Linked DNA regions of Drosophila melanogaster. The gene in region 1 interacts genetically with each later gene. Each region holds a gene or a part of one and is shown in the gene's direction. Other genes may lie near its edges. The genes, in order: fl(2)d and so.

Region 1 (7,647 bases):
TCAAAGCGGCCGAGAGCGAAAGAGAGAGGAATATCGAGTGCGGAAAAGAGACACAGAGACAGAGAGAGAGAGAGAGAGAGAGAGGGTGCGAGCGCCCTTTTGAGAAAAACCAAGCGAAAAAAGTTAAATCGATAGCGAACCGCGCCACTGAAGCGGGATTATCTAACACGGCTTACAGTCCGTTTCGCCCAGAATCGCGACTTTACTTTCCACTCTTTGCACTTGTCTCGATTTTTCCAGCTACCTTTGCGCTCGCTAAAAAAAACTCTCGAATTCGTACTTCAAATGCTCGATTTTGTGTGCCAAGGGCCTCCTGATTTGCTGTGGACTCTGATGCGGTCACGCGACGCGGTAGATGCAACCCCAAACACGGTGAAATTCTTTCTGAGCGCTCCGCCAAATCCGCAGCTGTCCGGCGAGATTTCCGCCGAGCTGTTTCTGTTTCTCTGGAGAGCGAGAATCTCACCGAAAGAGAGAGATTGCGCACTGAACAACCCTGGCAAATCTCTATTTTATATTCTGCGATAAGTTTTAAGTATTTTCAAACATCTAACTTCAATACTTCTTGCTTATATATTTTTTTTCAAATTTTTAAATTTACCGAATGATTGGATATCTACAGTATCCAAATAAATTTTTTATAATAATGTTATGTCATAAATTCAATTTATTTTTAGTCTGCTATAAGTTTAAAAAAGTATTTTAAAACTTCTAGGCTTACTACTTCTCTCTCAAAATTTAGAAATTACCGATTGAGGATTGGATTTTTATAGATACTAAAAAACATTTTCAAAACAATGTTATGTTATAAATTTCATAATATTTTTGCTTGGCTTCTACAAAATGAAAATTTTTTAAAAAGTACTGCTTAATTTTAAAGCATTGTAGCTAGAAATTTCAATTTCAAATGAGTATTATTGCTTTCAATATTGTTATCAGATTGTTTATAGCTAAAACAAATATATTTTTTTTGCAATGTCGGTTCATGTCATTATGTTAATAGGGTTGGAACTGAAGATATCAATCCGAAAAACTGCCGGCTTTGCTCTGCTATAAATCTGTACTGAAATATTATATAATGTTAACTACTTCTTCACATTATATAGATCAAATGTATGCACTTGTTTTGTAGCTTTTTTCCAGTTCTTAAACAAATTTAGAAACTATTTAGAATAATAGAACAATTTTTGGATTAACACTTATTTTATTTTATTTACATATTTGTACAACAGCCCTAATATTAGATATTTAATGTTGTTCATATAACAAATATCCCGAACATCAACAATATTTCCTTATGATCTAATGACCCTTATGATCAGTTAAGCTTTCAGCCCTTTATGCAATTGGTTATTTCGGTCCAGAAGGCCTGAACTTCAGGATCCTGCATTAAACTACGTTTCTTAGCGTTCAAAACTATGTTGAGGATGTCGGCATTTTTGCAGCAATCCCGTCTGGCGGATTTGCCATCCGGCGCCTCCGGGGAAAAGCCTTCCGTCTCCTGGTCATCCATTGGATCCACTTCACCCGCCGGACTGCCCAATTGTCCAACTGCAAAATAACAATGTATTTGGGGGAATCTATTGCTTAATCAACTTAAATACCTTTCTTGCACTTGGTCGCCTCTGTTTTCGGTTTTTCTGTCCGTTTTTGGTAGGGTTTTCTTGGTTTTGAGACATCTTTCGTCTTGCTGCGCTTGGCATTCGCATCGGTGGGCAGCAATTCGGGACTCTCGGCGGGATTATCCGCATCCTGCTGCAGGCGCCGCTTGACGTGCAGATTCAGGCGCTCCTTGATGTTTTGCTGTTCCAGTTTTATTTGCACACCAGTGGTTTCTGCCATGTTTTTGCGTTTTGAATATAAAAACAATATCCAAAACAGTCCACCAGTGTGACCCCTAAATAAATCTTACAAAAAAATAAACAGTAACGTAAGATACAACTTTCTCACTTGTATTTGATTGTTCCTAATTATTTCTAACTATGTAAATATCGTTAGTATTGGATGCAAAGCTATGGCGGTAGACGTAAGGAAGGAATTATCAGTGCAATTTAGAAGTTAAATAAATTTGTTATCTAATAATTATTTGGCAAAATTTGTGGCAGTGTGAACGGAACTGGGTTGAGTCTCCGCTACCCCATATCCGAGCCACGCACCCCAGGTCTGCATTTGTGTCGATGGCAAATCTGGTATTTTTCAGCGACGCCATGTTGGATTGCGAACAACAGTTAACAGCAGCAAACGAGAAATCAGCTCGCAGCGCAGAAAAATTAAAAAATATCGCCGTAAAAGTGAGCCCAACCGACCCAAAACATATGAAAAGTGTGAATTAAAGGACAATAAAGATATAAATCATTAATTAAGCTTTGAGCAAGCGCGAAAAGTACGCGAAATCAACGTTTTGCAAAACGTTCGCCATACGCGTCGCCATTGGTGTGAGCGATAGCTTGCCTGTGTGTGCGTGTGGTATTGGAGGAGGTGAGAGCGCCTGTGTGTGTGTGTGTTTGCGTGCGTGTGTGAGAGCGAGCGAGCGGCCCCTATGAAAAGCAACAGCAACAACGCCAGCAAAGGACCCGCAACAACAACAACAACAACAGCAAGAGTAACAAGCACAGCGTTTTAATATCCAAATAATGAGTGTCGCTGCAATGACTATGGACGATCAAAGACCCTGTATGAACAGTTACGACAAAATGCCCCCGACCAAATACGAGCAAAACCTAAATATCCTAAACAGCAGCCAAAACAGTGGGGCCACTGGCGGCCCCGCCTCCCCAACGCCCTCCGGCTTGGAGGACCACCATCATCATCACCATCCGCATCCGCACCATCATCACCATCAGGAGCAGCAGCAGCAGCAGCAGCAACAGCAACACTTGCAGCAGCAGCAACAACAGCAGCAGCAGCAACATGCAGCAGCTGTTGCAGAGGCTGTTGCAGCCGCCGAACAGCGACAGCGCTTGCTCGAAGGTATTTTGCACATTTTGGTACACTGCTATATGATCAGAGATCTATCTGATCTATATAATACCCCCTATATACTACATACATACTCGTTTCGAATACCGACAAAAAAAAAAAGAAAAGGAAAAAACCACGATCCAAAGTGTTGACTCTGTGTAAATTGTATAAATAATGCAATATATAAACAACAAGTAAACGTAGTCTTTTAGTTTATTTCTGCCCCCACTCCACTTGGGTTTCTTGTGTCATTTGAATTTGTTTATGAAAAACACTCGGTAAAGAACTCAACGTATATATTATGTGAATCGAATCGAAGCGAACACTCTTTGCAACGAACATTCTTTCAGCGGCGTTTTGGTTAACTTTATTTATTTATTTTTTTCAACACCACCTCGAGCAAACCGTCGAATGTAGTGAAAGTGCTTTCAAAAAGGACCATGCATATAATAATCTATAATACCTAAATATGAACTAAGTTAAAAGGCAACTGACGCCTAAAGTTATCAAGTGATTACAAAGTGTTGTGCAACAGAACTATCTAAAATATAAAATATGAGTTAAATAATCATAAATAATATATGAGAATCGTAACCAATTATAACCAGTAAGCTGAGCTAAGCTTTAATATTGAAAGCAATCGTACTTAAAATAAAAAATTATAAAATGAATCATAAGAAGATAAGGTTAACGAAGTAAAGTTTAAGATTTTATATAATCTTAATGAGAAAACCGGGCTGATAATAACATCAAATGAATAGAGCATATCAAGTAATAATAGTAGAGAATCCTAATCGGAGATTTTCCTCGTTTTCCGTCGTTTTTGCGGTGTACAGTTTTCGTTTTGCGACCACTTTTCGTTTGCCTACGTGCCCGTTGAAGAAGAAGAAGAAGCACAGCAGCAGAGAAGTGGAGAGGAGAAGAAGAGAGCCAACGTGTCTGCGTCCCCTGCCCCACCCCCTGGACCCATCTTATTCTCTCTCTTCGCGCCCCTCACGCTCTTTTCGTCGCGCCTAAATATAAATAATAATATTAAATAATCAATTGAAAATGTGACAGTGCATAACCAAAGAGAAAATAAAGTTGAAATTCTTTTTCTGTTGAAATTGTGTTAAAGAAGTGAACGTCAAATGAAAAAAACATTGCCTCGTGTGTTCAAACAAATACAAATGTTTAAATAAATGGCGCCAAAATACGGCGAACATGTGTGCGTTTGTGTGTGAGTGTGTATATTCACAATTGTTAAGCTTACTTAATTGATTTTTAAACGCTTAATTGGCCGCCAATCAATCAATTAACATGCAATGTGGGACACACGCACATGCACACATTTGTTTGCCCCGATCAAATAGTATATATAAATATAAAATAATTGCTTGGCTAAGTAAATACAAAAGCGAAGTTATATATGTACGTGTTTGCACAACAAATCCAACAAAAAATGCAAAGTCAATAAACTTTTTGTATGACAAAAGAGTGTTCGAAAATGCCGCAAAAAAGAGAAGGGGAAAAGCTTTTGAAATCCATGCATACATACATCCATGCATAGGCATACGAAAAAGCTTCCGAAAGCCCATTGTGTGTGCGTCGAGTTTTTTGCAAGTGTTTTTCAAAAATATTTTCAGTTTTGCCACAAAAAATATGTATACCAATCAGTCATCGTTGTTTTCCACAGTGTATGCAAGTTCGAAAATGCCGCGAAGATTCAAATTCAATCGCCAATCAAGTTCGATGCAAATGCAAATGCATAAGCAAAAGCAAGAAATCAAAATGCAAATAATGGCAGGTGTTCAAGTTATTCAAGTGCCAATGATAATGCCAGAGATAACGAAGCAATCGAAATCGAAATCCAAACCGCAAGCGAATTCGATACCGAAATCGATATCGTGTTGTCCAAGTTCAAGTGGTTCAAGTTGTGACACTCGCATCGAATCAAAATCTAAATCAATATCATTATCAGCCAGAGATTGACGACGGGATGCGGCCTTTTCCACCGACCATGTCACGAACTTACACGAATGATTGCAACGCATTGGTATGATTTCGTATTAAGTTCCACCTAAAAAAACAAACACTTTGCCTTGCCCATTAAGAACTTGTAAAATATCTATGTATATATAGTACGATATTGTTATATCTCGTGTGCGAACCAAAAAAAAAAAAAAAAGACAGTGGCTCTCTCAGCTTGGAACGCCCGTTATCTAGACCCCATTATTAGCTAATCCTTATCCTTCGATTCGCAGATGAGATCGAGAATCTCAAGCTGGAACAGGTCCGCATGGCTCAGCAATGCGCGGACGCCCAGCGACGCGAGAAGATCCTCATGCGACGGCTGGCCAACAAGGAGCAAGAATTCCAGGACTATGTGGTGGGTACTCGCCTTAATATACACAAATTTCTCAAATACTAATGCACCCGTAATCCCCATTAGAGCCAAATTGCCGAGTACAAGGCCCAACAGGCGCCAACTGCCCTCGCATTGCGCACTGCTCTGCTCGATCCTGCGGTCAATCTCCTGTTCGAGCGGCTCAAGAAGGAACTTAAGGCCACCAAGGCCAAGCTGGAGGAGACCCAGAACGAGCTGTCCGCATGGAAGTTCACGCCGGACTCTAATACCGGCAAACGCCTAATGGCCAAGTGCCGACTGCTCTATCAGGAGAACGAGGAGCTGGGCAAGATGACCTCCAACGGCAGACTGGCCAAGCTGGAGACCGAACTGGCCATGCAGAAGAGCTTCAGCGAAGAGGTCAAGAAATCGCAGTCGGGTAGGTTAAATCTGAACTAGGATTGGGATCGAAACTTATAGATATGTAAACTCCTTTACCATTTAGAGTTGGACGACTTCCTGCAGGAGCTGGACGAGGATGTGGAGGGCATGCAGAGCACCATTCTGTTTTTGCAGCAAGAACTAAAGACCACACGCGATCGCATACAAACGCTTGAGAAGGAGAACGCCCAGTTGAAACAGGCCATCAAGGATGAGGTTGTGGCTCCAGCGGCTGCCACCAACGGTGGCACCAACACGACGATAAATAAGCTAGAGACCATTCACGAGGACGCTTGCATGGCGAATAACCCAACGAATCCGGATTGTTACAATGGGAATACCAACAACGAACAGATCGCGGCCGTGCCACAGATACCACTGTCGGATGATGGCAGCAATATGAACGGAAATGCAGCGCGATTAGCCCGCAAACGAAACTACCAAGAGGAGGAAGCCCTTCCAACGGTAGTGGTGGTGCCGACTCCCACCCCAGTAGGAAATAACGTCCAGGAAGCGCCGCCCATCAGGGAAGTTACCGCCCCACGTACTCTGCCGCCCAAAAAGTCCAAGCTGCGAGGCATTACCACGCGTCGCAACTCCCAGCTGGAGGAGGATCATCAGCCAGTGACAACACCAGTGGCCGTCCCCATGATCGTGGACAACGCTGTGGCCGGAATGGCGAGCGAAGAGGCTGCTGCCGCCGCTGCGGCTGTTAATAACAGCAATACGGGAATAATCCCGGAAACGGGAGTGCAAGTGGGTGTCCCAGTTGAGGGCGGCGATCCAGGTGCTCCGGCGGCACCGGGCCGCATCCTGACCCGTCGTCGGTCCGTCCGCATGCAGCAGAACGGCAGCGGAGCAGTCGACTACTCCACCTAAGCGCTGGCGAACCTTTTTCCAAAAAAGGGTGCACTCCATATGAGTTCGTCAAATTGATCGTTAATTCCTGACGTTTACTTTTGTGAATTGAGATTTCAAAACAGAGAGAGACTTCATTTTATATTTCTAACCTATCTTTTAGATTCTTTAATTTTTTTTACACATTGTCTTGTAAAATACGTTTATTATTTCGTTTGCATGCGGCGTAGACATACATAATTCGCAAATTATTTAGAAGTCACTGCTTTACATACGAAATGCATTATGTAGAACAGTGTAAAACTTCAGCACATATATTTACAATAATACGATCGAGCTAAATGATAATGCTAAAAACTGATACACTATTTATGTTTTTTAACCACGGCATCTACTGAAAAGCTGAAAAGAAAGCTTGGTCAAAACAAAACTTGTCATTTAGCAAAATTAGGTTTTAATTATCAACTTAAGGCATTTTTGTAATACTATGAAAGTTGTGTAAAATAATATAAACTTGTGTTAAAATAAATTGTTAAGCATAACAAATATTTCAAAAAACCAGTGTCCTTTAATTTCAATTGCCGCCCAGCAAAACAATCGTTTTGATTTTCGAAATTATCTTGTGTTTATTATCAGTTTCTTCTTTTAGCACATTAGACAAATGGTTTTACTTGTATTTGATTGAATTCGAAATATGTTTATGTATGTAGTACAATTGTGGCTGCCAGCGAGTGTGTTTGTATCCTTTGTTTCGTTTGTGTCTGTGAGAAGAGTTTAAACTTGAGATCGGGCTAAAATGTTCTGGTAAAGAGGCCTGCAAGCTTGGCATAGTTTGATATTTGCTTTACCCTACTTTCAATCGAAATGTACAAAATGAGTAGGGATGTGGTGAGACAACCTGCAAGGGGGTTAAACGTACTTCCGATTCCATATTAAATAGTTAATAACAAATACTAGGCAGTTCGAATGGCACAAGTTGATTACACTACCATGGGGAAATGTGGGGTGTCTAAAGCTTAGCGAGTTCTGTTCCGATCGGAGGAGATATCCTTTCGGCTGAG
Region 2 (5,135 bases), 6.4 Mb from region 1:
ATTCGATTGAAATATGATCTGTTATTATGTAAATTTTACGATTTCCTAATTTTTTTAACACTTATTTTGGCTATCGGTGACTGTCGAGGCCTGGCGCCAAAACCTTATCGATCGCTGTAAACGATACTGAAATCGCCAGCGGTATGGATCTTCACTTGGCATCTGATCTGTGTGGGCAGTTGCCGATCTTGATTAGGTGCACCGGCCTGGCGCCCCATTAGTCCATCATCTTTGTTGGATTTCGATCGAGTTTCCCAGCTCCGTTTCCGAATTTGCATTTTGGGTGGTCCTCGATGCGATTTTCACGGCACACGCTGAGATCGAGCTACCGATAAATGGGACAGAATTTTAATAAAGAAGTGCTGAAAATAATACCATTTGTCTAAGCGGTTCCTCCAACAACAGGTACTTTGACTAATTTCTATACATTTAGCGTTACATTACATTAATTACATTAATTTACATTAATTACATTAATTACCATCTACAAAATTCACTAAGCAGTGTAGTACTCTGTGATTTAAGTTGACTATTTGTATTCAAAAAGAAAGTTAGGCATTCTGAACGCATCGCTGCACTTTGTACAGGTGTCTCTAGATCATGTTAATAGTTTGAAATTAAATTAGGTTCAAGTTATTTCAGTTATCATGAACAAGGACTTGAAGACGAAAGGAGCCTGTGTATATAGTAAATATTTAGTAAACTAAATATATTAGTAAATCATTAACACAATTAGTTGGCTTCAATTACCAAACGGCTTCATCTCCTTCGGAATCATTAAATAATACAATGCAAACCGCACTAATGTGGAAGGACCACAAGGTTGAGTTAAACCAAAAAAGTGGAGTGAATGAATATGAGAAAAGGCCAGTAATTGCAATTATACGAGAGATGCATGGAACTATTGCGGTGAGTAATTCAAACGGCATTGTAGGATGGCAGCTATTGCACCGGGCATCCTTTCAGCCAGGATGAGGAGTTCCTGGGGAGGAGCAGCGATGCAGTTGCAATCACCTCCGATTTCCGCCTTTCAATATGGCGCCCAATGCGCATGCCTTTTTGCTGGCATGCGTTTCCGCTGACCAATCAGCACGTTGCTGTCCTCCAGTGCGCCGGTGTGCGTGAGGGCATCTATGTGTGTGTGTGTGTGTGTGTGTGTGTGCGAACAGGTAAGCCGAGGGGGCGTTCTTTCGGTCAACCTGTTTATGCGCTCTCTCGCTCTTTCGCACGCTGCCCCTCTCGCAGTGGCTGTCAAACTGTTGTCGATTGGCACCGTGTGTCAAATTCAATGGCTACACGTTTATAAAAATATTTGTCCAATTAACTTAACTTAACTTAACTTAATTGTAAGCCACTTTAAAAATATATAAAACCATTTTCTAATGTTTTGAAGATACAATAGCATATAATAACGGAAAAATGTACTATGTCTTACTACGAAAACATTAGAATACAATAAAATAAAATAGAATAAAAATAAAAACACTTGTAAAGGCAAGATATTGAAAACAACTAAAACGTAGTGAATTCTGAGTTATCATCAGTTCATATATGTGTAATCATGAACTGTGTGTGCCCAGTGACTTTATAAAAGTCAGTGAATGTAAGTCTCGCTTCACTTGATTCCATTATTTTCCTATAACGTTTTTGGAAAGTGACGCACAAAGTGTCGGTGCATCCCACTGTGCAGTTCACCCCCTTGGTGTTCGCTCACTCACACACTCGCACGACCAGTCGGCCATCTCGCTCTGGCGCACGCACACCGCCAGCGGCACCAACCATTTTCTGCCTTTTGTCTCGGCCGTTTTCGGTTCGATTAGGTTTGAGAACCGGAGAGTTCTCAGTTGTTTTCGAGATTCCGTCGCGTGCGGTTCGCTGCCCGTTCTACCCACGTCGCTCGCTTAGTAATCCAGGCCGGATCCGGCGGTCTTTTGACGTCCCGCGCACAAAGTTATATTTAATTTGCGTGTTTCCTGAATGAACGCATCAGTATCGCGCCACATAAACGCACACGAAGCGAGAGAAAAGCGAGCAAAATTGAGCTAATCAATCCGCGGGCGGCCATTTTTTGTTGGCACTGCCTCAGTGCTGTCGTCGCAGCTTTGCCCACCAAATTTGCAGGTGCAATTTGTCCGAGTCGCGCAGGACAGCGAAGTTTTCGCGAAAAGTAATTTGCAACACGTGTTCGCACAGTGCGTATGAGCAATATTCAACGGCAAGCTTGTGTTAGTTAGTGCCCAGTGTGATCGCGACTAAGAGTGTGTGCGTGCGCGAACGGCACATGGCTTCGATTTGAAGAGTTTGGCCAAAATGCAAATCAAGGAAATGCCGCACAGCCGAAATCAGCGCCTTCTTGGCCAACTCTAACATTTGCGGATATAGCACAAGTCGAATCGGAAAGCCAAGGCAAAAGGCACAAACCCAAACAAAGAGTAACAAACAAAAACTAACAAACTCGGATACGTATCAACAATAAATAATCAAAATACAGGTGAGCAGCGAGATTCAGTTTTCATGCTGCCGACGGCAAAAGTTTACTGTGGAACACTAGAAACCATGGCAAAAATATATGTAGATGCATAAGTAGGACGGATATTCTTTCACAATAAGAAAAACGAATGGTATATGGGGGATTAATTTAAAATAAAATTGGCATTGATACTTGAAAAAGGAGATATAATAACTATGATAAATTTCGGGACGATTATGTGAATAAATATAGCTAATATTAGATTATACATTTCCATATTGGAACCTTAAAATTATAAAACCATAAATATATACAAAAGTTTCAGAAAAATAATAATTTCAATAGGTCAAACTAAGCCTTAGAAGAACTAACCACATGTTCAAGAAATCACTTATCACCTATAGATAAGATCATAGAACATAGACCTTTTATTAAACATCCCATACGGTTAAAATGGAACTTACAGCAAAGCGTTATTCTTGATTAGAAAAGCCTAAAGTTCTCTGAGAAAGTATCAATCACTTTGCCTATTTGAAGACTTCATTTAAAAATATATTTTAGTGCTTTAAATAGCCTTTAAAGCGTGTGCAGCGAAAACATTAATGCAGTCCATAAATGTCACGGCGTATCTCTATCCGCTTTCTAATGGATCAATCTATCATCGAAGTCCATAGATTCACAACGTTTTGCCGATTTCAATGAGGAGAGCTGAGAGCCAAAGTGCACTTCGCTTTTTGGCGGCGTGGCATTGGCGAATTCCAAATGGCCAAAAGCCATCGGAAAACCAACTCGAGGCACTTGAGAAGCAATTCTGAGGGAATCGAAACGAAGGCAAAAGCACGGGAATTGCATGTTCACTTATATTTGGAAAGGAAACTTGTTTACACACCAAAAGAAAAATTCTGTTGTTTTATTCACCGCTCAATTTTTTTCTAAGTTTTCCACGTTTCCAAGTTGGCTACTCAACGGCCCACCCACCTCAGATGTATTTATTAATTAGAGGAAAAGATATGAGATGGATTTGATCCAAAGGAAAAGTAGTTTCCAGTTGTCATTCATTCATCGCAAAGGCTTTCCAACCGTTTGGTGCTCGAAACCAACGCACACAGTGTTTATTTATGAAACCATTTGGCTTTATCATTTCGTTTCTCGCCACAAAATTTATGAAATTATTAACTATAGCGACTGTTTGGCCGACAACTTTTGTACTTCGTGTGAGGATGAGTGGGCGTGGACCCACTTTTGTCCGGCTAAATTCGATATTTGCGATATTCGGGGGATTGGGAGCGTTTAAACGAATTGGCCAACGCGTGTTTGTCGTCAGAAGTCGAATGATTAATTGAGTGCAGAGATGGGAGCAGATGTTGCGTACGGTTCTGGTTGCCTATTTCGGATCATCAAGATACCAGCCATGTGGATTCCATCTCGGAAGTGGCCAAATTGACAAATTTGCGCATTCCATTCGCCTAGATTCGGGACTCGGGCAGAAACAGATACAGATACGCAAGTTTGGCCGCAGCAGCTTTGATCATTTTACGCACCGGCGTGCAGAATCCGTCGTAATTTGGGGACGAGCTCCCCACCGGCGGGACTTTCGACCAGTGCACTTCAGTTTCATTCAAAGTTTGGCAAATGCGGCGCAGCAAGGCGAAAAGCAGCCGACATGCAGATGCAGATACATTCGGCTGCGGAGGCAGAGACACATGTGTGTGCAACCCATTAAATTGACAAATTTCATTCATTGCGCCGCGCTCTATTCGATTTCTTTGTGCGTAGCTCCCTCACGCGGCAATTAAACGGAAAATGTTAAAAATAGTATCTGGCGGATAGCAGCGATTGTCTCGACCGTTTGGCAGCAGCAGCGCTTACTAATCCCGACCAGCGGCCAGAAAGCCGTTCGAATTACCCGGAACGGGGGCTGGCCCACAACAGGTTGCATGGCACACGTCTTCCCAGTCCTCAATCCCCAATCCCCAATCCCCAATCCCCAGTCACAGTCTCAATCCCATTCCCATTCGATTACATTGTATAAACACAGACGCCGGAGCAGATGATTTCGGTGTTAGCCGCGAGAAACAGGCGCACTGTTTGTGCTTTTTGCGATTGCGATGGCACCATGCTCCAAGTTGAGCTGGGTGCTCCTCGAGCTGGGGCACACTTCACCTGCAGAGTTCCCGAAGTGCACTTAGGACTTAGGGCTTTGGAACTGCCCTGCGAGTTGAATCGAATCCATCAACAAGTCAATCGTAAGCTGACTTTGATTACAAACTAATTAGGCGAACAACGCTTGCAGCCACGGCAGCTCGAACAATTCAATTTGATTAACAGCCCAATAGAGTTAGGTGTCCGCTTTCAGATTTCCAGGGATTCCACGACATTCAAATTAAAATCTTATAAAAGTAGGAAGAAGCACAGGGGAAGGGGAATGGGGCAAACACGATACAGAAACAGAAACCAATAGATAATAAATTACAGAATTTGTAAAATAAATTAAATTAATTTTATTCGAATGCCACAAAAGTCAGGCAGCTACAGGCGCGCGATAACAGATCTCCCACAAGGCGAACTGAAGAGGCAGCCAAAAGATACAGATAGAATATCTTTCGAGGCCGCTGCTGTCGTAGCTGCTGGTGTTCTTCTTCGTTTTGGGGCAGGGACTTCCACT

What was found.
Region 2: of fl(2)d (region 1) and so, changing one suppresses a phenotype caused by changing the other (phenotypic suppression), as found in Drosophila melanogaster (one study listed by BioGRID).

The regions. Positions count from the first base shown.
Region 1 is NT_033778.4:13,819,115-13,826,761, reverse strand, and holds fl(2)d (female lethal d), read left to right. Parts: upstream 1-2,208; 5' UTR 2,209-2,633; coding exon 2,634-2,970; intron 2,971-4,586; exon of another isoform or gene 4,587-4,996; intron 4,997-5,204; coding exon 5,205-5,329; intron 5,330-5,392; coding exon 5,393-5,726; intron 5,727-5,792; coding exon 5,793-6,607; 3' UTR 6,608-7,138; downstream 7,139-7,647. Other genes in the region: CG13339 (uncharacterized protein), read right to left, coding at 1,331-1,551, 1,605-1,842. UniProt on the Drosophila melanogaster protein: Associated component of the WMM complex, a complex that mediates N6-methyladenosine (m6A) methylation of mRNAs, a modification that plays a role in the efficiency of mRNA splicing and is required for sex determination.
Region 2 is NT_033778.4:7,417,508-7,422,642, forward strand, and holds the start of so (sine oculis), read left to right. Parts: upstream 1-1,842; 5' UTR 1,843-2,491; intron 2,492-4,988; exon of another isoform or gene 4,989-5,135. UniProt on the Drosophila melanogaster protein: Required for visual system development. May transcriptionally regulate genes necessary for optic lobe invagination and Bolwig's nerve formation.